Macaca fascicularis: one gene and its partners. The protein of the gene in region 2 interacts with the protein of the main gene of each other region in a pairwise test. Links are inferred from orthologs where the notes say so. Each region holds a gene or a part of one and is shown on either strand. Other genes may lie near its edges.

The links.
Region 1: the proteins of ADRB2 (region 2) and ARRB2 interact in binary tests that used the Homo sapiens proteins (3 or more experiments, as listed by UniProt). The link is inferred for Macaca fascicularis from reciprocal best matches to the Homo sapiens genes ADRB2 and ARRB2.
Region 3: the proteins of ADRB2 (region 2) and KCTD13 interact in a protein complementation assay, tested with the Homo sapiens proteins (2 studies listed by BioGRID and IntAct, with this or other methods). The link is inferred for Macaca fascicularis from reciprocal best matches to the Homo sapiens genes ADRB2 and KCTD13.
Region 4: the proteins of ADRB2 (region 2) and SLC52A2 interact in a protein complementation assay, tested with the Homo sapiens proteins (2 studies listed by BioGRID and IntAct, with this or other methods). The link is inferred for Macaca fascicularis from reciprocal best matches to the Homo sapiens genes ADRB2 and SLC52A2.
Region 5: the proteins of ADRB2 (region 2) and GPR37 interact in a protein complementation assay, tested with the Homo sapiens proteins (2 studies listed by BioGRID and IntAct, with this or other methods). The link is inferred for Macaca fascicularis from reciprocal best matches to the Homo sapiens genes ADRB2 and GPR37.
Region 6: the proteins of ADRB2 (region 2) and VAPA interact in a protein complementation assay, tested with the Homo sapiens proteins (2 studies listed by BioGRID and IntAct, with this or other methods). The link is inferred for Macaca fascicularis from reciprocal best matches to the Homo sapiens genes ADRB2 and VAPA.

Annotation. Positions count from the first base shown.
Region 1 is NC_088390.1:4,804,906-4,808,949, reverse strand, and holds the start of ARRB2 (beta-arrestin-2), read right to left. Parts: upstream 2,801-4,044; 5' UTR 2,778-2,800; coding exon 2,644-2,777; intron 1-2,643. UniProt on the Homo sapiens protein: Functions in regulating agonist-mediated G-protein coupled receptor (GPCR) signaling by mediating both receptor desensitization and resensitization processes.
Region 2 is NC_088380.1:155,832,448-155,835,160, reverse strand, and holds the end of ADRB2 (beta-2 adrenergic receptor), read right to left. Parts: intron 1,414-2,713; coding exon 1,283-1,413; 3' UTR 501-1,282; downstream 1-500. UniProt on the Homo sapiens protein: Beta-adrenergic receptors mediate the catecholamine-induced activation of adenylate cyclase through the action of G proteins. The beta-2-adrenergic receptor binds epinephrine with an approximately 30-fold greater affinity than it does norepinephrine.
Region 3 is NC_088394.1:28,174,894-28,178,902, reverse strand, and holds the start of KCTD13 (BTB/POZ domain-containing adapter for CUL3-mediated RhoA degradation protein 1), read right to left. Parts: upstream 2,801-4,009; 5' UTR 2,619-2,800; coding exon 2,375-2,618; intron 1-2,374. UniProt on the Homo sapiens protein: Substrate-specific adapter of a BCR (BTB-CUL3-RBX1) E3 ubiquitin-protein ligase complex required for synaptic transmission.
Region 4 is NC_088382.1:154,040,982-154,045,101, reverse strand, and holds SLC52A2 (solute carrier family 52, riboflavin transporter, member 2), read right to left. Parts: upstream 2,801-4,120; coding exon 2,612-2,800; exon of another isoform or gene 2,314-2,611; intron 2,198-2,313; exon of another isoform or gene 2,194-2,197; coding exon 2,148-2,193; exon of another isoform or gene 2,088-2,147; coding exon of another isoform or gene 1,958-2,087; intron 1,856-1,957; coding exon 988-1,855; intron 891-987; coding exon 767-890; intron 682-766; coding exon 469-681; 3' UTR 210-468; downstream 1-209. Other genes in the region: FBXL6 (F-box/LRR-repeat protein 6), read left to right, coding at 2,929-3,332, 3,577-3,735, 3,862-3,925. UniProt on the Homo sapiens protein: Plasma membrane transporter mediating the uptake by cells of the water soluble vitamin B2/riboflavin that plays a key role in biochemical oxidation-reduction reactions of the carbohydrate, lipid, and amino acid metabolism.
Region 5 is NC_088377.1:166,334,157-166,336,313, forward strand, and holds part of GPR37 (prosaposin receptor GPR37), read right to left. Parts: intron 132-2,157; coding exon 1-131.
Region 6 is NC_088392.1:78,262,599-78,266,618, reverse strand, and holds the start of VAPA (vesicle-associated membrane protein-associated protein A), read right to left. Parts: upstream 2,801-4,020; 5' UTR 2,576-2,800; coding exon of another isoform or gene 2,497-2,575; 5' UTR 1,491-2,496; intron 1-1,490. UniProt on the Homo sapiens protein: Endoplasmic reticulum (ER)-anchored protein that mediates the formation of contact sites between the ER and endosomes via interaction with FFAT motif-containing proteins such as STARD3 or WDR44.

The DNA of each region.
Region 1 (4,044 bases), on a different chromosome or scaffold from region 2:
GGTTCATGCCATTCTCCTGCCTCAGCCTCCCAAGTAGCTAGGACTACAGGTGCCCACCACCACGCCCGGCTAATTTTTTGTATTTTTAGTAGAGACGGGGTTTCACTGTGTTAGCCAGGACGGTCTTCATCTCCTGACCTCGTGATCCGCCAGTCTTGGCCTCCCAAAGTGCTGGGATTACAGGTGTGAGCCACTGCGCCTGGCTGCTAATTTTTATATTTTTAGTATAGATGGGGTTTCCCTATGTTGGCCAGGCTGATCTCGAACTCCTGACCTCAAGTGATCCGCCCGCCTCAGCCTCCCAAAGGGCTGGGATTACGGGCTTGAGCCACGGCGTCTGGCCTGTATTTTGTAGTTTTTTAGTAGAGACAAGGTTTCCCCAAGTTGGCCAGGCTGATCTCCAACTCCTGACCTCAGGTGATGCACCCGCCTCAGCCTCCCAAAGTGCTGGGATTACAGGCGTGAGCCACCACGCCCGGCCTTAGGTTGCAGTGAGCCAAGATTGCGTCACTGCACTCCAGCCTGGGTGACAGAGCAAGACTCCATTTCAAATAAATAAATAAATAAAAAATAAAATAAAATAAAACTACCCAGTGATGGAGGTCCTAATGTCTCTATTTTCCAGGTGAGGAAACTGAGGCAGAGAGAGGTTAAGTGTTTTAAGGTCACAGAGAGAGTAAATGGTGGGAATTAATAGAAACCAAGGCGGTCTGGCTCCGAGTCCATCCTCTCAATCAATATTACACTATCCGTCTCTGTAGCTGGCATCAATAGTTTGTTCAATTGAAGGGTATTCGCTTTCCAGTTGCTGAAACAATTTAAGCCTGGACTCCACCCACTGCTGGGAGGGTAAGGAAGTGTTTGGCAATCCCAGTGATCTGGCCAATTGTGAGCCTATTCTTTGAAGCATCACCTTACTCCTTCCAATCCACTCTGCCTCAGCAGTGATCCCTGGAAAGGATCCTCAGATAGACAGCAGAACGTGAAATCCTGCCAACTAGCCCATCCCTCCTCCAACTCTACCACCCCATTCCCAGAGGACCCCAATGGGCAGGTTGCCGCAGTATCTGGGTAAGACTTAACCATCTTTCCATCTGGTCTACAGCTCTGACAGCTGGAGCATATAGGAGAGCAATGACTCTGGCCTTTGGCCCTAAATGGTTTCTACCATAGGCCCAGTTTCTGCTACAACTTCACTTGTCCCTTCTTCCCAGAAAGCCAAGCTGTCCAAAGATTATAAGGTAAAGGGTATGGAGGCTCCCAGGTATTCCTAACCAATAAAAGAGAATAAACATCGATACGGTGGCAGCTAGAATAAACATCCTATCTTTTGTCCCAACTTGGGGGCTGAGTGCTGTGGCATCATCCAGGCTCTCCCTCCCCTTTGCTTCTGGTTTTCCTCTTTGTCCCAGGGTGTCCTCCCATTAGGAGCCCTGGCACAGGGCTGTGACAGCCACAGTCAGTGGGCCAACTGCAGTGTGGCTCTGGGGCAACTGCCCTGGAGCAGCTGCAAGGCACCTGCCCTTTGGATCCTAACCCAGCCACCTCCTGCCAGGCTGAGGAGGAGCAGCGTGCAGATACTAGGCTGGCCAAGGAGGCAGAGTGTGGGGATGACCAGGGAGGTGCCCAATGGGGGCAGGGGTAGCTGAAGCAGATGTCCTTTCACACTTCCTGCTATTCTCTCCATTTCCTGTGGCCCAGAATTTGATGGAGGTGAGGGAAATTGGGTCAAGTCAGCAGTCCCCTTTGGTCCATCTGTCCCACTCCTTGAACCACATAACGGAAATCAGGGGCCTCCCACAAGGCAGCAACTTCCCCTTTCTCTGGGATGTTTAAACCCTAATCCAGGACACCGATCATCTCTCTGATGATCTCTTTCTGATACTCATCTACTTGACGCTCAGAAACCTGGGTTCTCCTACTCTATAGGTTGGAAGTGGGGTCGATATGATGCTTTGCAGAGCAAGCCAGAGCTCAGGACCAATTCCCTATTCCCGATCCCCTCTGGGTTGAGGCCTACAGCCCCAACCTTTCTGTCTTTTGCTCCTGCTCCCCTGGGACTCAGGCATTCACCCCTTACCCCTTGGGGGTGTTGAGTCACAACAGGAAGTGGATTTTGCTAGAGACCAAAAAAGAGAACTCGGGGTATCAGTGGAAGGAAAGAGCCTCGATTGCACAGAAAACATCCGGGGAGTGGACGCGCGCCCAGCGTGAATACTGCCTCCCCCACCCCCAGGGAGAGGGATCCGATCTAGTTTCAGGAAGGGTCAGGCTCTCCCAAGATGAAGCTGTTGTTGCTCCTGGCAACCCAGGGGAAGGTAGAAGTTTGGATGAGGAGCCACCCGGCCCTCGGGACAGGTGTGGGCAGCGCGACTACCTGGGGGATATTGGACAGGAGGCTTTGCATTGGCTTGGCACGAGTCTGGAGGGGATCCCCCTCCCAGCATCCAGCCTCCCCGTACACGACCCCTCGGGGCCAGCCACCTGCTCCTCCCTCCGTCCCTGCATCGCAGCCTGCCCAGACTCCTGGGCACGGGAGAGCCCAGTAGTCTGGCCCCACATCCCTGAGAGAACCCCGACACCGGTTTTTCTGATCCCCCTCCGGCCTCGCTTTCTGCAGGGGCCCGGGCATTTCCCCCCAACCTCATTATCCTCGAGGACCTGCGCGTGCGGCCCCGGATGGCTGTCCCTAGGGACCCAGGCGTCCGGCCCCCAGATCCTCTCCGCGGCGTCCTCGTCTGGGACCGTCCCAGCCCCCGCCCCGAGCCGCCGCCCATGCCCCGCCGCGTGGCCCCACCTCCCTTACCTGGTCCCGGGTTTCTCCCCCATGGTGCGCGCGCCCGCCGCCCGCTCGGTTCGCGGCTCGCTCGCAGCCTCCTCGCCCGCTGCCAAGATCCCTGCTCCTCCCCGCGCCAATGCGCACGCGCGCCCTCCGCGCTCTCGCCTCTTCCCCCTCCCTCCCGGCCCGGCTCTGGTCTGGGGGAACCGGGGCCAGATGCGTCAGCCGGATCGCGCGCGCCGCGGCGCTGCCCGCCCTCTCCTAGCAGACACACAGGGCCATTGGCTCCGCCCCCAACCCTTCGCGTTCCGTCCCAGCCGGGGAGCCCTCCCCCGCGCGCGGGGCCCGCTCCCGCTCTTCCCGCCCATCTCCCCGCCCCGCCGCAACCCCTTGAAACCGATTGGGCCCCCCTAAACCAAGGCTCCCGCCTTCCAGGGGATCTAAGTCTTTCGATTGGCCCTCGGCATCCAGAACCTTTAGGGGTCTCCTCCCCTTTGTTTGCTTTCTCAGTGGCGGTGGGGGCGACCGGGCTGTTGGGGGCGGTGGAATGAGCTGAAGCGCCGTCTGGGAAGGAGGATGGTGGGGGGGAACACGTGGGTGAGCAGTTCAATTGCGTGATACTTGCTTCAGTGCGCGCAGCTCACCTGCTCCACGCGGAGCGTACCGCCTTCTGTGGCCAGCCCTCCCGCTTCTTCACCGCAGCGTGTCAGCTCCTCCTGGTGTCTACATTTGATTTTCGCAGGGTTCCCTTTTCCAATGTCTCTGACTCTCCATCTCCTTCACCCACCCATCCCAGCTAACATCCACTCACTCACTCGCTCGCACCCATCGGTCCATCTATCGACCCACCCATCCGTGCCTATTTTATGCTATTTACTATGCCAATCGATGGGGACACATATGAATTACCATGGCCCCTGACTTCCTAGAATAGTTGAGGAGACACATACACAGGTATTACCCAGGAATGCTATTACAGAGGTCTGAGTCAGAAGACACAGCCACTAACAGCGCTCGGCCCGGGCGGGGGTGGAGCGGAGAACATATGAGGACAGTCTTTCTGAAGGATGTGCAGAAGTTTTTTTTCGTTTTCTTTTTTTTGAGATAGAGTCTCGCTCTGTTGCCCCGGCTGGAGTGCAGTGGCGCGATCTCGGCTCACTGCAACCTCCGCCTCCCAGGTTCAAGCACTTCTCTGCTCAGCCTCCCGAGTAGCTGGGATTACAGGCGCCTGCCACAATGCCTAGCTACTTTTCATATTTTTAATA
Region 2 (2,713 bases):
TTGTGATATGCACCAAACAGATGGCCTGCATTCTCTGTAGGAGCCTACACAGCCCAGGTGCAGCTACCATCATTGAGGGCCCTGATTTGGTTGTTTCTCCAAAACTGGCCAAAGCTGCTAGCAGGTTTCTGTCCCATCAGCCACCAGCATGACCAGTGCCTGGTGCCTGGCACGAGGTGAATGGTTAATAAGCCTGAGTAGGATGAATGAATGAACTCCAGTATGTGAGGGAGTGGTGCCTGTGACCCCTGAAGGTGGAGCAGGTTTGGTTTCTTTTAGTATAAATATTTAGAATATGACCATGATTATAGTTTTTGGCAAGAGTGAATCACTTACTCATGGTCATGGCCTTGAACCTAACCAAACCGCCAGCCAGCACCAGAATAAACTGCACAGAACTGCTGGCCTCAACCAAAAGGAAACTGACTTTCTATTGACTCATGAGACAGGTCCGTTTTTTTTTTTCTTTCAAAAAATTTTTACAAACAGTACAATGTCTAGTAAATCTGACCAAACCAGATACCTCTATTTATTTTTTTCTAAAACCTTGAACTAGAACAAAATTAGACCCCACATAATCCTTATTTATAATATTACTCAATATGTGCAAATAGTAATGATGTTAACTAACATTCATAGGGCAATGCTATGTGTATTATCTCATGTATTCCTCAGACATACCTATGAAGTAGGTGCTGTTTTAATTCCCATTTTACAAGCGAGGAAAATTTGGCAGCTAAATAACTTTTGCCAAGTCACGTGACGATTAGAAGGCAAAGTGAGCGTTTGAATCATTTGAATCCAGGTCCACTTGATTCCCAGGCTGGTGCTCTCAGCTCTCTGGCTCTCCTGTGTCCTCAGCATCAGCGACGGCTGTGGTTTATTGGGCACACGTCGTGAGGCAGTCACAGGACTGAGCGTTCTTCGCACATGAGCTCGGTCAACCCCTCCGCAGTACTATCAGGAGGGTACCATTGTTAGCTCCATTTTAGCGATGAGGAAACAGGGATTTCATGAGATTGTGTAACCTGCCTGCCGTCTGTGGATGGTGGTGCTAAGCTCTTCATGTGGAGTGATAGAGCTCAGCAAGCTCCAGGGCAACAAAGAGTGGGGGACTTTTCCAATGTCATACAGTGAATCAGTGGTTGAGCTGGAACAGAACTTCACTGAAGACTTTCCATTCACTGCTAGGAGAGTGTTGTCGTTAACAGTGGGGGAGGGGCCTGCCATAAGGTCAATCTGCTGTGTCACTTGCTCTGGTGGCAGGAAAGAGTTTAGTGGATTAGAGCATATACTTTGAGTCATACAGATCTGTGCTCAGGGCCACCGTGGGAAAGAGCCTTCCTCTTCCTGGGCCTCTGTTTCTTCTTCTGTAGAATGGAACAATAACCATAGGCCTGCCTCTTGGGTTTGCTGGAGAAGTAAATGAGAGAACACACATTAAATGTCTGGCACAATGACTCTCATGCAGTTAACATGGAATAGCTGTTGTTGTTATGTTGTTGTTTATTGAAATGATTCATGATCCAAAAGAGGCTTGGAAACACTGCACCATATGGAGAAGACTTGAAATCCACTTCACAATGACTGATTTGTGATAGGAAGGAGATGTGAAGGCTGAAGAGCATCTATATACACAGGCACTTGGGACACACAAACACATACATGCTCCTGAAACCTGCACGCACATGTACTTGTGGCATATGTACACTCACACACACGTGCACACACATGTACATACAATATACTTGTACACACATGCTCACATGCACCTGCATATACTCTCACATGGACACACACATGCATGGACAATATACTCATGGCATCTATGGTTTCATACATGCATCTGCAACCTGCACACCCATGCACTTGTAACATACACATGCACACACAACATACTTGTGACATACATATGCTCTTACATATGCACACACATGCATGGACACATGCATCACACACAATACATTTGTAGCATACACATGCTTACATGCATATGCACACACATACACGCACACACATGCCCGTGCACACACATGCATGTGCACACACACTCATGTGCACACACACATTGCATGTTCCTTAGCCTGGTGAACACCTACACATCCTTTAGCTCTCAGCCCAAAGGTCACAGCTTTAGGGCAGCCACTTTGACCGAGGCCAGGACACTCAGGCTGAGCTATCTTGGCACCTAGCACCTCCACCTCTCATCCAAACTGTCCTCTCTCAGCCCATGGGTGCTTCAGTCCCAGGCTCTGTTACCATCACTCTAGGGAGCTTCAGGGGCCTCAGGGAACCTCCTCAGCTTGCATCTCATTGCATGTCATTGAATAATTGTAATAAGTTGCTTAATTCTACAATTCCTGCTAGAATGCCAGTTCTGTGAAAGGCAGGGATAAAGCTGACTCTTCTCCACAGATCAGAATCATTTGACGCAGACCGGCACATAGTATGTCTTCAATACATAGATGCCATTGACTGAACAGAACCACCAGGATCTCATTTGCATGCAAGCTGAAGAATAAGCTTATTCATATTGGGGTCACCCTACACAAGATATCTCATATGGGGATTTTAACCATGGGGTCTCTAATGATTTGGAGGCTCACCCAGAGGAAATCAAGCCTCAGAAAGCTGTAGAAATTGGTAAAAAAATAAAATCCAACTTTCAAATGCATTCCTAGTCACCAGGAAAACACATTTGGGGGAGAGACTG
Region 3 (4,009 bases), on a different chromosome or scaffold from region 2:
CTTTGCTGAGTGACCTGGAACTACTAAATTAAAAATTATTTTTTTGTAGAGACGGAGTCTCACTATGTTGCCCAGGCTGGTCTCAAACTCCTGGGCTCAAGTGATCCTCCCATCTCAGCCTCCCAAACACTTGGATTATAGGCGTGAGCCACCAAACCTGGCCTAAATTATAAGAAAAAAGGATTCCAGCCAGGTGTAGTGATTCACACCTGTAATTCCAACACTTTAGGAGGCTGAGGCGGGTAGATCACCTCAAGTCAGGAGTTTGAGACCAGCCTGACCAACATGGAGAAACCCCATCTCTACTAAAAATACAAAATTAGCTGGGCTTGGTGACGCATGCCAGCTACTTGGGAGGGTGAGGCAGGAGAACAGCTTGAACCTGGGAGGTGGAGTTTGCAGTGAGCCGAAATCGCGCCATTGCACTCCCTGGGCAATAAGACGGAAACTCCGTCTCAAAACAATAAAAAGAAAAAAGAAAAAGAAAAAGAAAAGAAGGCCAGGCGTGGTGACTTAGGCCTGTAATCCTAGCACTTTAGGAGGCCGAGGTGGGCGGATCACCTGAGGTCAGGAGTTCGAGACCAGCCTGACCAACATGGAGAAACCCCGTCTTTAATAAAAACACAAAATTAGCCAGGCGTGGTGGCGCATGCCTGTAATCCCAACTACTCAGGAGGCTGAGGCAGGAGAATCGCTTGAACCTGAGAGGCGGAGGTTGTGGTGAGCCGAGACAGCCTGGGCAACAAGAGCGAAACTCCATCTCAAAAAAAAAAAAAAAAGAAAAGAAAAGAAAAAGGATTCCAAAGCCACAAAAAAGTCTGAATACTGATCTGTCTCAAGCCTGTGCCACAGCCAAGAAATCTCTTTAAAACATCTCCAGCGAGTTCTCTCATAAGTTTATACATATCCAGCCAGAGAATTAATTCATCCAAATCTGGTCTACAGTCAGAAGACTCTCACCACGAGAAAGTTCTTGCAGAATTACCTTATCAATAAACCGCTAACCCCCGATGCTAATTCTCACCATTCTATTTAATTAAAATGTCTACCTCCCCCGTCCAGTTCACTGCCATTTTAACTTTTATATTCTTCATAGAACTTACTATCAAAAAAAAAAAAAAAAGAAAGAACTTACTACTATCTGCAATTGCATATGCATATACATTTTGTTTACTTGCTTATTGGTCTTCCGATCTCTCACCTCCCTAAAAAAAGGGAAGTTATATAATTTTGTCAGGTTCATTTACCTATCTCCAGCACTAACTGATATTTTACAAATACTCATTGGACAAATGAATTCTTCCTTTTTTTTTTCTGAGACAGAGTCTCACTCTGTCACCCAGGCTGGAGTGCAGTGGCGCCGACTCGGCTCACTGCAACCTCTGCCTCCCAGGTTCAAGCGATTCTCCTGTCTCAGCCTCGCAAGTAGCTGGGCTACAGGCGCACACCACCACGCCCGGCTAATTTTTGTATTTTTAGTAGAGACGGAGTTTCGCCATATTGGTCAGGCTGGTGTCAAACTCCTGACCTCTGGTGATCCACCCGCCTTGGCCTCCCAAAGTGCGGGGATTATAGGCTTGAGCCACCGTGCCTGGCCGAATTCTTCACCTTTGATACCTGAAGGCAGATCTCCGCCTCCCAAGTTTTTATTCTACTGCTCTCACAGTCCTTGTTAACCCCTCCCTTAAGACTCTCCCACTCCCAAACTCCAAAACTTCAAGGTCTCACTTGGGCACGAAGGGTCCAAACTTGAATACAACACTCCAAGAAGGTAAGGTTCACCTGCCAAGGACACCTGTCCACCCTCCACTCTGGTGTCCCTGGCAAACCCAAAGCAGCCTCCTTCTGCAATGTGTATATACAGATGGATTCCTAGAGCGTACAGGGACCTGTGTCAGGGGAACACAGAGGCAGACAAGATCTCCCAGCCCTCCTGGCTGGTTGTTAGCAGTTCTGAAGCAGAGAGGGAAACAAAAGGCTGGGCGGTCGGAGGAAACTGATGAAGGCTGCCAGGAGTAGTACTGCAGGCAGCAGGGCTGGTTCCCAAGTCTTGAGCTGAGACGTGAAGGGTGGGAGAGGTAGTCATGAGGATTATGAACTGACACGTTCAATCACTTACCACAGCGCCTGGCAGAGTTAGGGGTTCCGTAAGTGTTGGTTATTGCTGGGGGTAAAGGATTGGGGGAGGAGAAGAGAAATTATGAATGAGAAAAGGCGAGAAGATGGGATGTCGGGGCTGGAGGGAGCTGAGAATGAGTTGACGGGACAGCAGCGGGCAGAGAGAAGGGGCATGAGGAGCCCCGTTGGTGAGAGACTGAGGGGAACGGGAGTTGGGGATCTGGGGATGGGGGCACGGTGGGGGCGCCGCTAGTACCTCCGGCATCGGTCAGCACCTCCACGCGGCCGCTGAACATGGCCTTCAGCATGGTGTCCTGTCCCGTGAGGGTGCGCAGCGTGGTGTAGTGCAGCGAGCCGCCCACGTTCAGCTTCACGTATTTGCTGTTCGGGGTTAGCGGCTTGAGACCGTAGGCGGCGGGGCCAGGCTCGAGACCCGAGGGCTTGGGGGCTTCCAGGGACGGGGCCGCGGGGGCCGCCGGGCCCGAGGCCTCCGCCGACATACCGGGTAGCAGCGGCAGACGGCGATCCCAGGCTCTCTCCGCGCCCTGCGACCTGCTCCCGAAGACCCTCGGCCAGCCCCTAGCCCTCGGGCCAGACCGCTCCGCGCACACGCCCACTCACCGCCTCTACTCAGCGAGACCGGCCCTCCGCCCCATCTCGCTCGCACCACCCGGAAGCCAGTGCCGGGTAGCTGCGCAGGCGCGGCCCGCCCCTGAATGGGGACGGGGCTGGAGTATGGAGCATGCGCAGTGGGCTTGCTGGGGAAGCCGGTGGATAGGTGGCGTGTGGCCCTAAGGTCCCCCGGGCGGGTCGACGTGCTCTTCCCTCTGGTCTCGAGTCCCCAAGACCAGATCGAGGATGCGGCCGACCCGCTGGCCGATGTGGAAGGCTAAGTCTCCGCCTCGTGATTGGGTCTCTGCTGTCAGAGAGCTTCACGAGCTTGAGGAGAAACAGACCGTGAGGTCTGGGCATTGGGCAGTTTCCCGCCTCCCAACCCCGCGCACTGAACAGACCGTGACGAGAACTGGAACAAAGCGCGGAGGGAAGCTCTTAAAGGAGGCCAAAGCGGCCGGGCGCGGTGGCTCACACCTGTAACCCCAGTCTGTAAGCCTAGCTACTCGGGAGGCCGAGGCAGGAGGAACGCTTGAAGCCAGGAGTTGGAAGCTGAAGTTAATACATGATCGGACCACTGCACTCCAGCTTGGGCAACATAGCATCCTTTAAAAAAAAAAAAAAAAAAAAAGAAGCCAAAAGGGGTAGCAGTGGTGCCCGGGCACCAAGGATAGAAGGCCTCTCTGAGGAGGTGATGCCGAGCTGAAGCTAGGAAGCGGATGTGAGGGAAGAGTTCCAAGCAGAGGGAAGGCAAATGCAAAGATCCTCAAGGCAGGAACACGCTCTCCGTATTTGAGGAGCAGAGTGCGTGTCAGTGGTGGCAGCAGCAGCTGAGCAAAGGTCTTAGAATCCTAGCTAATGTCATGGGACCTAGCACCCAATCCCAAAAGAAAGAAGAAAAGATAGGAACCCACTGTTGACAAGAAGGTGCACTGAGAAGTGTTTTTATCTGACCCTATCTGCATCCAGTTTAGAAGCCGATACGTCAGGGATTTAACAATCCACTTCAATGTCTAGCAAGGGAAGTTGCTGGAGGGAAAACACAGAGTCAGAGTTCTATCTTCAGCCCTGCCAGCAGGTCCCTGGGAGATGCTGGAAGAGTGACTTTTCTCTGGGCGTGGTTGGTGCAATCACCAACCTCGCAGGAGAGAGGTCAGAGTGTAAATGAGTGACGTAGGCCCGTTACTGGGTATAAGTGGGCTTATAGTGACCAGGAGCTCATGTTCTACCAAAGGGGTTGCCAATTCTGATTTTGAGTGTGGCGGTGTAAAAGAGGAAA
Region 4 (4,120 bases), on a different chromosome or scaffold from region 2:
AGAGAGCCCAGGGCAGTTCCAAGAAGGAATGTAGGGGAGTCTGGGCTCAGAGGGCCATGACTGTACGATCTGTGAGACCAGCCTGCGGTGGGTAAGGACCTGCCCAGGGCCTGGGGAGAGGTGGCCCCTGTTAAACAGGCCCGGCCATGGCTCTAGTTCACAGAAGCATCCACACAGAAAGAGATGCTCAAAGAATTAATGCCAACTCATTAAATAAAAATGTTTTATTATGCAAACCACACGTAGGTCCTAGGCTCAGGGGCTTACCCTACAGCCCCCACCGGTCCCTGGCTCCAAGCCTGCTCCCTGCCCTTTCCCCCCGCCCCAGAGAGCCAGGGTCTCCTATGGAGTGTGTGGTGTCCACGAGTGTACCGGTGTGCGGGCCTCCTGGGCTGCAGGCACTCAGGCATGGTGGCAGTGTTGAGGGAAAGACAGGCGTCAGGGAGCGGGGTCCCCACCTGCCCAGGCTCAGGAGTCACAGGGGTCTGCACAGTCCTTTCTGCTGTGGAACACGTGATAGATGCTGGTGGGGGGGAACATAGCAACAGCGCCGAGCAGAGAGCCCACCTGGATGGCCACACCGGCTGCCAGCAATGCCGGCCGGCCCCCGCCATGCAGCAGGGAGCTAGCTGCCACCTTCACGTAGGAGAAAACACCAAGACACAGCACCCACGACAGGACCTGAGGGGACACAGCAGCAGCTGAGCGTGAGATGTGCCTGCTCCACGAAAACGCCCCCACCCCACTTCACGTCCCGTGTGCTCACCACGAGGACCACCCCTGCCGAGGTGCCCACCAGGGGCGGGCAGGGGCTCAGGACTGCCAGCGCCATCAGGTAGCCCCCAAAGAGCACGCCCAGCAGAGAGAGGCCGCCCAGCCCTGCCAAGGATCTGTAGAGAGTGAGCAGAGTGTCAGGGCTGACTGTGCCAGGACCTGGCTCCCAGCCCTGAGTTCCACCCGCACAGGGGCTGAAGGGCCCTTGTGTACCTGCACAGCACACCCATGGCCAGGAAGCAGGCCAGGGGATTGGCAGCACTGCCCAGCACCACAGCCAGGTGGTAGGCCAGACGCCCGTAGGGTAAGCAGGAAAAGCTTTGCACAGCAGGTAGCACGCCGTTGGTCAGTGCGTTGGTGGCAGCCAACAGCCCCAGGAGGCAGGCACTGTGGGCTGAGAGAAGCTGATAGGCCTTAGGGTCTGGACCAGGGGTGGTGCCTGCTGCCTGGCTTGGTGGCTCTTGCAATGGTGAGGCCTCTTCCACCTCTTCCTCTGCTCCTGGGGCTCCCACCTGGAGGCCTGATCCTAAGCCCCCTGTGGGTACAGATGGTGGTGGCAACAGCAGCAGGAGACCCTGAAAGGCAGCAGCTGAAGCGACCAGAAGGGCAGTCAGTGCCCAGAAGAAGGTGCTGGCGGGAAAACGCTCACGGAAGTCGAGTGGGGGGCCGGGGGTGCCGTTGATGGGGGCTGGTGGGCACTCACGGCGGCCCACACCCTGCACTAGGGCCAGCACGCAGGGCAGCAGGGCACTCAGGCCTTGACCCAGGAAGAATGACCGTAAGAAGCGAGGTGGCAGGTGGCTCAGGAAGGGCAGGAAAGTGACATTAGAGGCACAGCATGCCAGCGCCAGCACAAAGGCCAGTGCTAAGAAGGCCACGGAATGCGACTGTCCTGCCACTAGGACCACGCGGTGCCACAGAAAGGCCAGGAGAGCTGTGCCCACCATGCTCAGCACCTGCACCACCCGGATGGGGACCCGCTCGCCCTTTCCTGGGGCCAGCCGCCTCCAAAGGGTCACCACCAGCAGACCCAGGTTCCCCAGCGCCACAAGCACAGAGACGTAGGAGGGGAGACTCCAACCTGCAGGGAAGGGAGGAGACCATGTCAGGGGCATGATACCCAAGGGAAGAAGAACTGACAGGGCCCACCTTCCTGGGCACACCTGCACCTCCTCCCACTCACCCTCCGGAAGCTCTTTGACCACCACAGGTAGTTCCACCCAGATCCCATTGACCGCAGCCCAGGAGCCCATGCCGAAGAGAGCCACCAGCAGGTGGGTCAGCACCGGACGGCCGGGTGTGGGTGCTGCCATTCAGTCCAAGGCTGCGCCCTTCCAGGTCAAGGCAAAGGTCACAGCCAGTTCTTTTCCCACCTAGGTCCAGAGACGCTTTGGCTCTTCTGGGAACTGAAGACCTCTTCTAGCTTGAAAGAAACAGACAAATAGGCAGGATACAGAACCGGAATCAACAGGGTGAGACCAAGGGAACAGGGGGAGCCCCGGGCAGGAGTGGGGATGGGGAGGATTGGCTAAAACGTACCCAGCAGCACCGCCCGCCAGCGTCGGGACCGCCGGCAGGTAGGGAAGCAGGAAGCCGGCCCGAGTCGCTGCAGCCCCAGGGGAGGAGGCCGAAGGAGCGAGTGGAGCCCTCCTCTCCAGGGAGAGGCGGGGTTGGAGTCACTGCAACCACCACCCCAAGCCGGACACTGGGACAGGGCGCCTACCAGCAGGAGCCAAGCACGCCCCAGGGCTTCGCGGTGCCCGGGACCGCAGGAGCCAAGTCAGATCCCAGGGGAGTGGCTGGGGCGGCTCTGCTCGTAGGGGCGCCGCCCTCTCACCAGCTTCAGATGGGCGACTCTACGCCTCCCGGTCCCGCACCCAGTGCGCTCCCGCTCTAGTGCCGGCTTCCCGCCACGCCAGGACGCCGCCGTCCGGCCCAGGGACGCCGCCTCAGTCCAGACAGCCCAGGACCCGACAGCAGCCACCACCAGACTCACCCGCCGCGACTCCGGGCCCGCCCCCGGCATGGCCCACGGCCGGAAGTCCCGCCCCGGAAGCGGGTCAGCGGGCGGGCGCAGAGAAGAGTCGGGGGGTGTCAGTCTGTAAGCCCCGCCCGTTCCGCTCCCTGGAGCTGCCCCAAGCGCCGTCGGTGGTCATGGCTTCCCCGGCCTCCCGGAAGGTCCGGCGCAGAGCTCGGGCAGCGCCGCGGGCCCGCTCGGCCGAGGACTGGTGGTGGGACCGGCTGGCGCCGAGCGGCTCGGGGTACCACCTGCTTCCGTCCGACAGCATGCTGCTGGTGCTGTCCGAACCCGGACCCGCCCGGACCCGCGCACAGCGACGCGCTGCCCGCCGCACTCCCCGCGCTGCCCGCCGCACTCCCCGGCAGCCGCCCCCGGGCCGCGCCGCGGCCAAGCCCAAGGCCACGCTCAGGCCCGACCCGGCGCCCTCGCCCGAGGAAGGGCCCGACGCGGGCTGGGGAGACCGCATTCCCTTGGAAATCCTGGTGCAGATTTTCGGGTTGTTGGTGGCGGCGGACGGGCCCATGCCCTTCCTCGGCAGGTAACGCTGCTGCCGGGCCCGTCGCCGAGCGCAGCGACTTGGGCCAGACGTGGTCCGAGCAGTGGCCCGGGCGGGGGCGGAGGGCGAAAGCATCGGAGCGCGCACCCCTCCGCCCGAGAGCGCAGCCCCTTAGGCGCCCGGTTGGAGTCCCAGGAGCCCGGCTTTGAGCCGGGATGTCCACTGCGCTGCGAGAGGGGGTATCACCTACGAAGGGGCCGGCAGCCTCAGCACGCTGTCCTCCCAGGGCTGCGCGCGTGTGCCGCCGCTGGCAGGAGGCCGCTTCCCAACCCGCGCTCTGGCACACCGTGACCCTGTCGTCCCCGCTGGCCGGCCGGCCTGCCAAGGGCGGGGTCAAGGCGGAGAAGAAGCTTCTTGCTTCCCTGGAGTGGCTTATGCCTAATCGGTGAGGGGTTCCCTCTTTTCCTTGTCCCCTGGCTCCAGGCTCCTTCTGTCTCCCTGCACCAAGGTGTTGGGTGGGAAGGACTCGTGTGGGAACATTAGTGCAGCTCTGCCTCTGCTGTCGGCCCAGGTTTTCACAGCTCCAGAGGCTGACCCTCATCCACTGGAAGTCTCAGGTACACCCCGTGCTGAAGGTGAGAGCTCCAGGCTGCCCTGCACACCAGCTGTGACCCTCTGGGACTGTTGAGTACTCTAGGAAGTGGGTCAGGCACCTTGAGGGCCCAACGCTGCTCCATCGGGAGGCCTGCCTGCCTGCCTGGTTCTCCTTTCCTGCTGTTTCCTCCAGCAGGGAGGTGTCAGAGGCGGGGACACCCAAGTAGGCCTGACAT
Region 5 (2,157 bases), on a different chromosome or scaffold from region 2:
ACAGCCAGTTTGGCAGTTGTTGAGGAACAGTTTTCGATCATTTCATAGTACATCTGTACGTTGGTGGCAGCACGGAAACGGTCTATGCACAGAGCACATAAGGTGAAAGTGGTGACTCCCAGAGAAGCGACCTGTGGGGGAACAGAGAAGACATTTATTCCCAGTGTCCCCTGAAAGATCAAAGCACTAGGGAATAAATGCAGACTGGCAAAACCGTAAAAAAAAAAAAAAAAAAAAAAAAAAAAAAAAAAAAGATAAATAAATAAAAATAAGAGAGAGAGAACAGTTTTCCAGAATGAGGCATGGGTAACTGGGCTCAGGACATCAGCTGAATCATTGTAAGCATAAAAATAGAAAACAAACTGTAGTGGGTTGAGGGTCATAGAGTGCAAAACATTTAGGACTGGAAGGATCCATAAAGATCAGCTAGTCCAATCCCTTTTTATTATAGATAAGAACCCAGATACACTAAAAATCTTATTCACCACGAAAGTGTCTGCCACTAGGAGAGCTAGATAAGGAGTCAGGGTAGTGCAGAAATTCCCATTTTCATTGCTGACCAGGATTCTCATGTTTTCCAGTGTGAGGGTCAGTAGTGTGCCTTACACACAGCAAATACCAAAGAGTTTATTGTCTCCGATGGACTAAATGATGAGAGGGCTCCTCCAATTTTTCCTAAATGCAAAATAAAGTATGACAGTATTATCTTCAAAGGCATACACTTACAGAAAACAAGAAAGGGAAATTCGCCAGAGGCCAAAATCAAAAAGGAAACAAATTTCAAACAGGCCAGAGACTCCTCCCTGTTCATGCTGCCTGTTTACCTTAGGGGCACCTGCCCGTCCTGGTGAGGGCTTCAAGTTAGTTTTAGCTAGAAAAATGGGGCAAGATGCCCAGGTACACAGGGGCAGGAAACAGAGCTGGGGCCAATGTGGGTGGGGATTGGGTCAAAGACTCCCTGTGAATTTGGAACTCCTCAAATGCTGACATCTTAAGAGGTGTAAGGAGATAATGAAGAAATCTGCCTATATGACAGGATTTGGGTCTGGATGAACTGGGGGGAAAGGAGGCAAAAAATGGCAAATTCTAACCAGGAGCCTGAACTTACATGGTGTTAGGATCAGAATTTCCAGGATCTATGTGGCTCAGAAAACCCAAAATACAATTTAAAATAATCCCAGGCACCTGGTAAAAATCAAACAAATCCTCTCTGGAAGAATGTACTTTAAAACCAGACCTCAAAAAATCCTATAGTTAAAATTCAAGGGACACAGGTTCACAAAATCAAAAGTCACAATATGCAAGAGACAATTAGCCACTATGAATTTATATGCCAGAGATACAGAATCAGACATAAAAAATATATTTATCATAAAATAGGTATGTATATCAAATTTAAAGAAATAGGAGATACTTCAGAAAATCAAAGAAAATAGAACCTGTAAAAATACAGGAAAATATGCAGAAAGTAGCCAAAAAGAATGTCTAGATATCTCAAACACAGGAAAATTTTGGAGCAGAAAACTCTTTGACAATAACCAAATGAAAAACTGTCTTCAAAAAGGCACTGTTCTTGTAAGCATATGGTCCAGACATCTAAAAAAGTCAACATTTAAAGGTTAAGAACCAAAAATATGTACCTATTTTTTTTCACATGGAGGCTTTCCAGGAATATAAACACATGTTCTTAATGTAAGCATGCTATCATTTCATTTACTTATAAAACATGTATTAAGCATTGTACATGTACTCAAATGGGGCAAACAGATACATATCCAACACAAGCATCCATTTATTGATATCAACTCCATGCCGAGCACTATGCTTGGTGTCGAGAAAATAGAAAGCTACAAGAAGCAGTGACTTCCCTCAAGCACATCATAGTCAACCAAGATGGGGACGATGGTTCTCAAAGTTACAACATGAACACAGCAATCACCTGGCAATATTAAAGCCACTTCAATATTTGGGGGAAAATTGAAGTAATTTAATATATAATAAGTGTAGTCATTATCTATGCATTCAAACAAGAACAAGGAGTAAAAGGTAAAATGTCAATAAGGTTTCAGATAAAATATGAGACTAAAAGAAAACTCCCTGGGTGGATGGAATGCTTTGGTCTACACCCCAGACAACTCGAATATATGCATTTGCTCT
Region 6 (4,020 bases), on a different chromosome or scaffold from region 2:
AAAGTCCTTCACTTAAAAAGAAAGTTTTGAATGATTTAGGATAAGTCAGTTAAACGATTTTTTTCTATCACAAACTAAGCACAAGTAGACTGTAGATTCTAAATGAGTCTCCTCAGTGTTGAGCTGTGCACTTAAATACACAAAGGTTTCCATCAAGCAAACAATTTACCTTTGACTAAAAAAATAATATTAAGGAACCAGACACCAAATGTCACCTCCCAATCCCCCCCATTATCTCCGTCTTTAAACTGAAACACACAACAAACTATTGGGCATTTAAGTACCAGGCATTCTCTCACAGCAGTGTGTTTACTCAACCACTCTCTTGGCCTAAATCTCCCCTGAAATGAAAAACGAGCCTTTTCCTTAAAAATTTCCTAAGGGAGGGATGGGGCACGTAGAGAAGGCTTCTTTCCTCAGACAGGGTTGAGTCTCTGTTATACCATCTATATACCTTTTCTGTTTCCCTGGCTAGTCTTATCATTTTTACTGGCAACACAAGAACAACGTGTTCTATAATCATAGCTGTAATTCTCCAATACCCCCAAAAAAGGAAATATAAGAGTAAGTCACTGTGTAGGGTTTTTGCTTGTTTTTTTAAACCTGCTTCTCCACTATTATTAGTCTCTTACTATAGCAACATAACAACTTCCCTAAGGAGAAAAAACTTCAAACTGCGGACATTTCCTGGCCTAAAACTGTCCTAATGGCAACTTACACATACTTATAAGTCCCTAATGGCAACTTACACAGTTATCCAGTAGAGGAAATGTTCACTGTAAACACGGCCAATCAAAAGATAAAAACGAAATATTAAAAAACACATCATACAGGCTTACATTAAATTATCTCGAGATAATGGCTGAGTTAGGACTTTTCATAATTCCTCAAAGGTTTTCCCCCAGCTAAAACTACGTAAAAAAATCACACAACTTACATAAACTTGCAAAAAAATACATTCACTGCACCTTGTCTTAAAACCAAATCCTTACCCAACAAGTAGCTCGCTTACACTTACTTCTATTCAAAGAAATTTGTAAATGCACTAAAAAGCTTGCAATGTAGTTACGCAATATTAATCTCATAATTCCAGAATATATTTTAAATTCCTAAAACTGAAGTTTTTCCTATGGAAATAATGTAGTTGGTCTTCTCTTGGACTCAACCTCACACAACAATAAAGGATTTAACTTTTTCTTTTAGCACTAGAATTGCTATGCACCTCACAAAAATTGTTCTCATTCAACAACTGAAATACAAGACATAGACTTCCAAAACGGGCCTCACTTTACACTTAACTGAAGATAGGAAGAAACCTACTTTCTATCAGATGTTCACACTCTTTCAGTATTCCTTAAGAATACAGAAGAAAAAAAAAAATCTGTACAGTTTTACTCTCTTTCCTAAAGTACAACACAGATCGACTAAGGAAAGGCACCAAACAGCCCCTGGGATTCTTCCAGGATCACCAAGTCAGACTAAAAACTTACCACAGGCAGCGCTACAAAATAAAAACCTACAAAGCTCCAGAGCTGGGTCACACCTTATCAGGCCTCTCAGGATCTGTCGGCAACCGCAAACGTAAAAGCAAAAGTCACACGCACTGAAGGTTTCTCAGCAGAGGAGCGCAACCGAAGGGCTAAATAAAAGCACGCGGGTGGCACACTGAAATGTCGTGGAAGGCAGGAAGCCCCGCTTACTATGAACCTACAACTCTCCGCTCGCAGCTGACGCATCGCTGCTGCCCGCACGCGCCTGGGTCCGTGCCAACAGCACCGGGCAGCCCTCGCCAGGCACCTCCAGGGCTTCTCCGCCTCCCCGGCGCGCCCTACACCTGATGGCCGAGTTCTAAGCCGGGCGGAAAGGTGAGAAACGACGCGCTCCGCGGAGCCCGAGGGCCGGCTGCTCCCAGCTCTGCCCGGGCCGGGGCAGGGGCCGAGGGGCGGTCTCACTCCCGAAGGGTCCCGCGCCGCGCCCTGGCCTCCCCGCGCCGCTGACAGCCGGGAGCGGGCGACGGACGCAGCTTGCGCCACCTCCAGAGCCCACTCCCCGCCGCAGCCCAGAGCGCACGCCCGCCGATGCCCGCCGATGCCCACCCGCCCACGCCCCGCCGGAGCACGCCATCGGCCTCGGGGACCAGGGACGCGGGCCCGGGCGGACGGCGGCTCGGGCGGGACCGGACACCCAGGAGGCGCCCCCCCGGGACCGCAAGATGGCGGCGGCGGCGGCCGCGCCAGGGCCCGGCTCCCGTCCGCCTCGCCCCGGCCGGCGCGCGCACCGCAGCGCGGGCGGGCGGGAGGGGACGAAGCGGGCCGGAGCAAGGGGCAGGCCGGCCGAGGCGGCGGCGAGGCAGCAGCCGGGAGAGGGCAGGCGCCGGGGCGTGGGGGAGGGGGCGCTCCCTCTGGCCGGGGCGGCCGAGTTGTCCTCCGCGCCCCCCGCCGCCCGCCAGCCCTCCGCGCGCCCCAGCCAGCCCTGGGGTGTCCCCGTCCTGCCTACCTTTGAATTTGAGGTCTGTGGGCGGGTCGAGGACCAGGATCTGCTCGTGCTTCGCCATGGCCCCTGAGGCGGACGCCATCGGAGAGACAGCGCAGAGCGGGGGCGCGCCCGCGGCGGCGGTTTGCTGACTGGGGGCGGGGGTCGACGGCGGCTCGGCCGAGCTCTAAGACGAGGCCAGGCTCGCAGCTCCCGAGCCCTGACGCCTGTCGCTGTGTCGCCGGTTCGGTGGGCCACCCGCTGGGTCACCAGCTCCGGGTCTCACAACTGACTCAACCCCACACCAGCCGCCACGGCCACGCGCACTGCGATCCTCGGCGCCCCACGTGACGGCCTCTGCGTGCCTACGTGCGCGCCCCGGCGGCCAGGAGCCACTAGCGCTCGTCCCGCCCTCCAGGCCGGCCTAGCGCGGCGCGGGGCTGCTGCGCCTGCGCGCTCGCGGCTTGCCGCGGCCCCGTGCGCAGCCCAGCTGTCAAGGGAACGGGTGTGGAGGGAGGCGGGGCAAAGGTCCGCGGGGCCGACGCGATGCGCAGCGCAGGTCTGGCGGCGCAGTCCTCTGTCACCTTGAGCTGCGAGTACGGAACTAGAGAAACTGCTCTGGCAGCGCTTAACAGTCTTCCAAGTGGGAATGCCCAGTGGAAGGAACAAGAAGCAGTGGGGAAGGGCCCACTCACTACAACTCCCGGCATGCCTCCTGCGGGGCGGGGCATTCGCCGAGGGCCTGGCCCTTTGCGGCCCTGCGCGGCGCTTGCTGGGAACTGTAGTAACGGCTGTTTGTGGGCGGAAAGGCGAGCGAGGTCCGTTGGAGGCGAATGGGGTGGGGTTCGCGGACGCTAATTTTGGCTCAGAGCGCGTCTAGTTTGCGCTAGAAAAAAAACTTTTGAAGACTGAAACGAGGCCCATATGTTAGAAATATACTAATAAAATCTGCCCTGTGGAGAACAGGCTGGGGGGATGTGTCCGTTTGCTCTAATTCTATCCGTCCCTCTGTTGGCAGGGCTGCATTCCTTGTGGTATCCAATCCAGCCTCTCCTGGTTCCTGAGTTGTCTCCAGTGATGCAAAATCAGATAAGGAAACACACCTCGTCTAGGAAGCAAGGGGAAATATGACAAAGCACACAGAAGCTAGAAATAAAAGTCAAAATCTACACCATCGAACCCAATAACCTTCTTCAGTTTTGATTAATGATGGATCCAAACCAAAACAGTTGTCACGTTCACATGTTAGAAACGAAACCCATCTGCATCACTTATGATAGGCGGTAGTAAACTGAACCAAATGAGAAAAATCCCAGCAGCAAACTTGTTGACAAAACTTTAGCCGATTGCCACGGTAGTCTGGTACAGGAACGTCAAATGAAACCAATGTGCTGTAAATAAACCTTTATTGTATTTTATGATACGGTTTGAATTTAAATCCCTAGGAAGCTCCACGAAACAAAAGACATATTGATGCTAATGCTGTGGAGCAGCACAGTTTGTCTAGAAAATAAATGAGACGAAACAGCAGTCTAGATGTAGGCACCA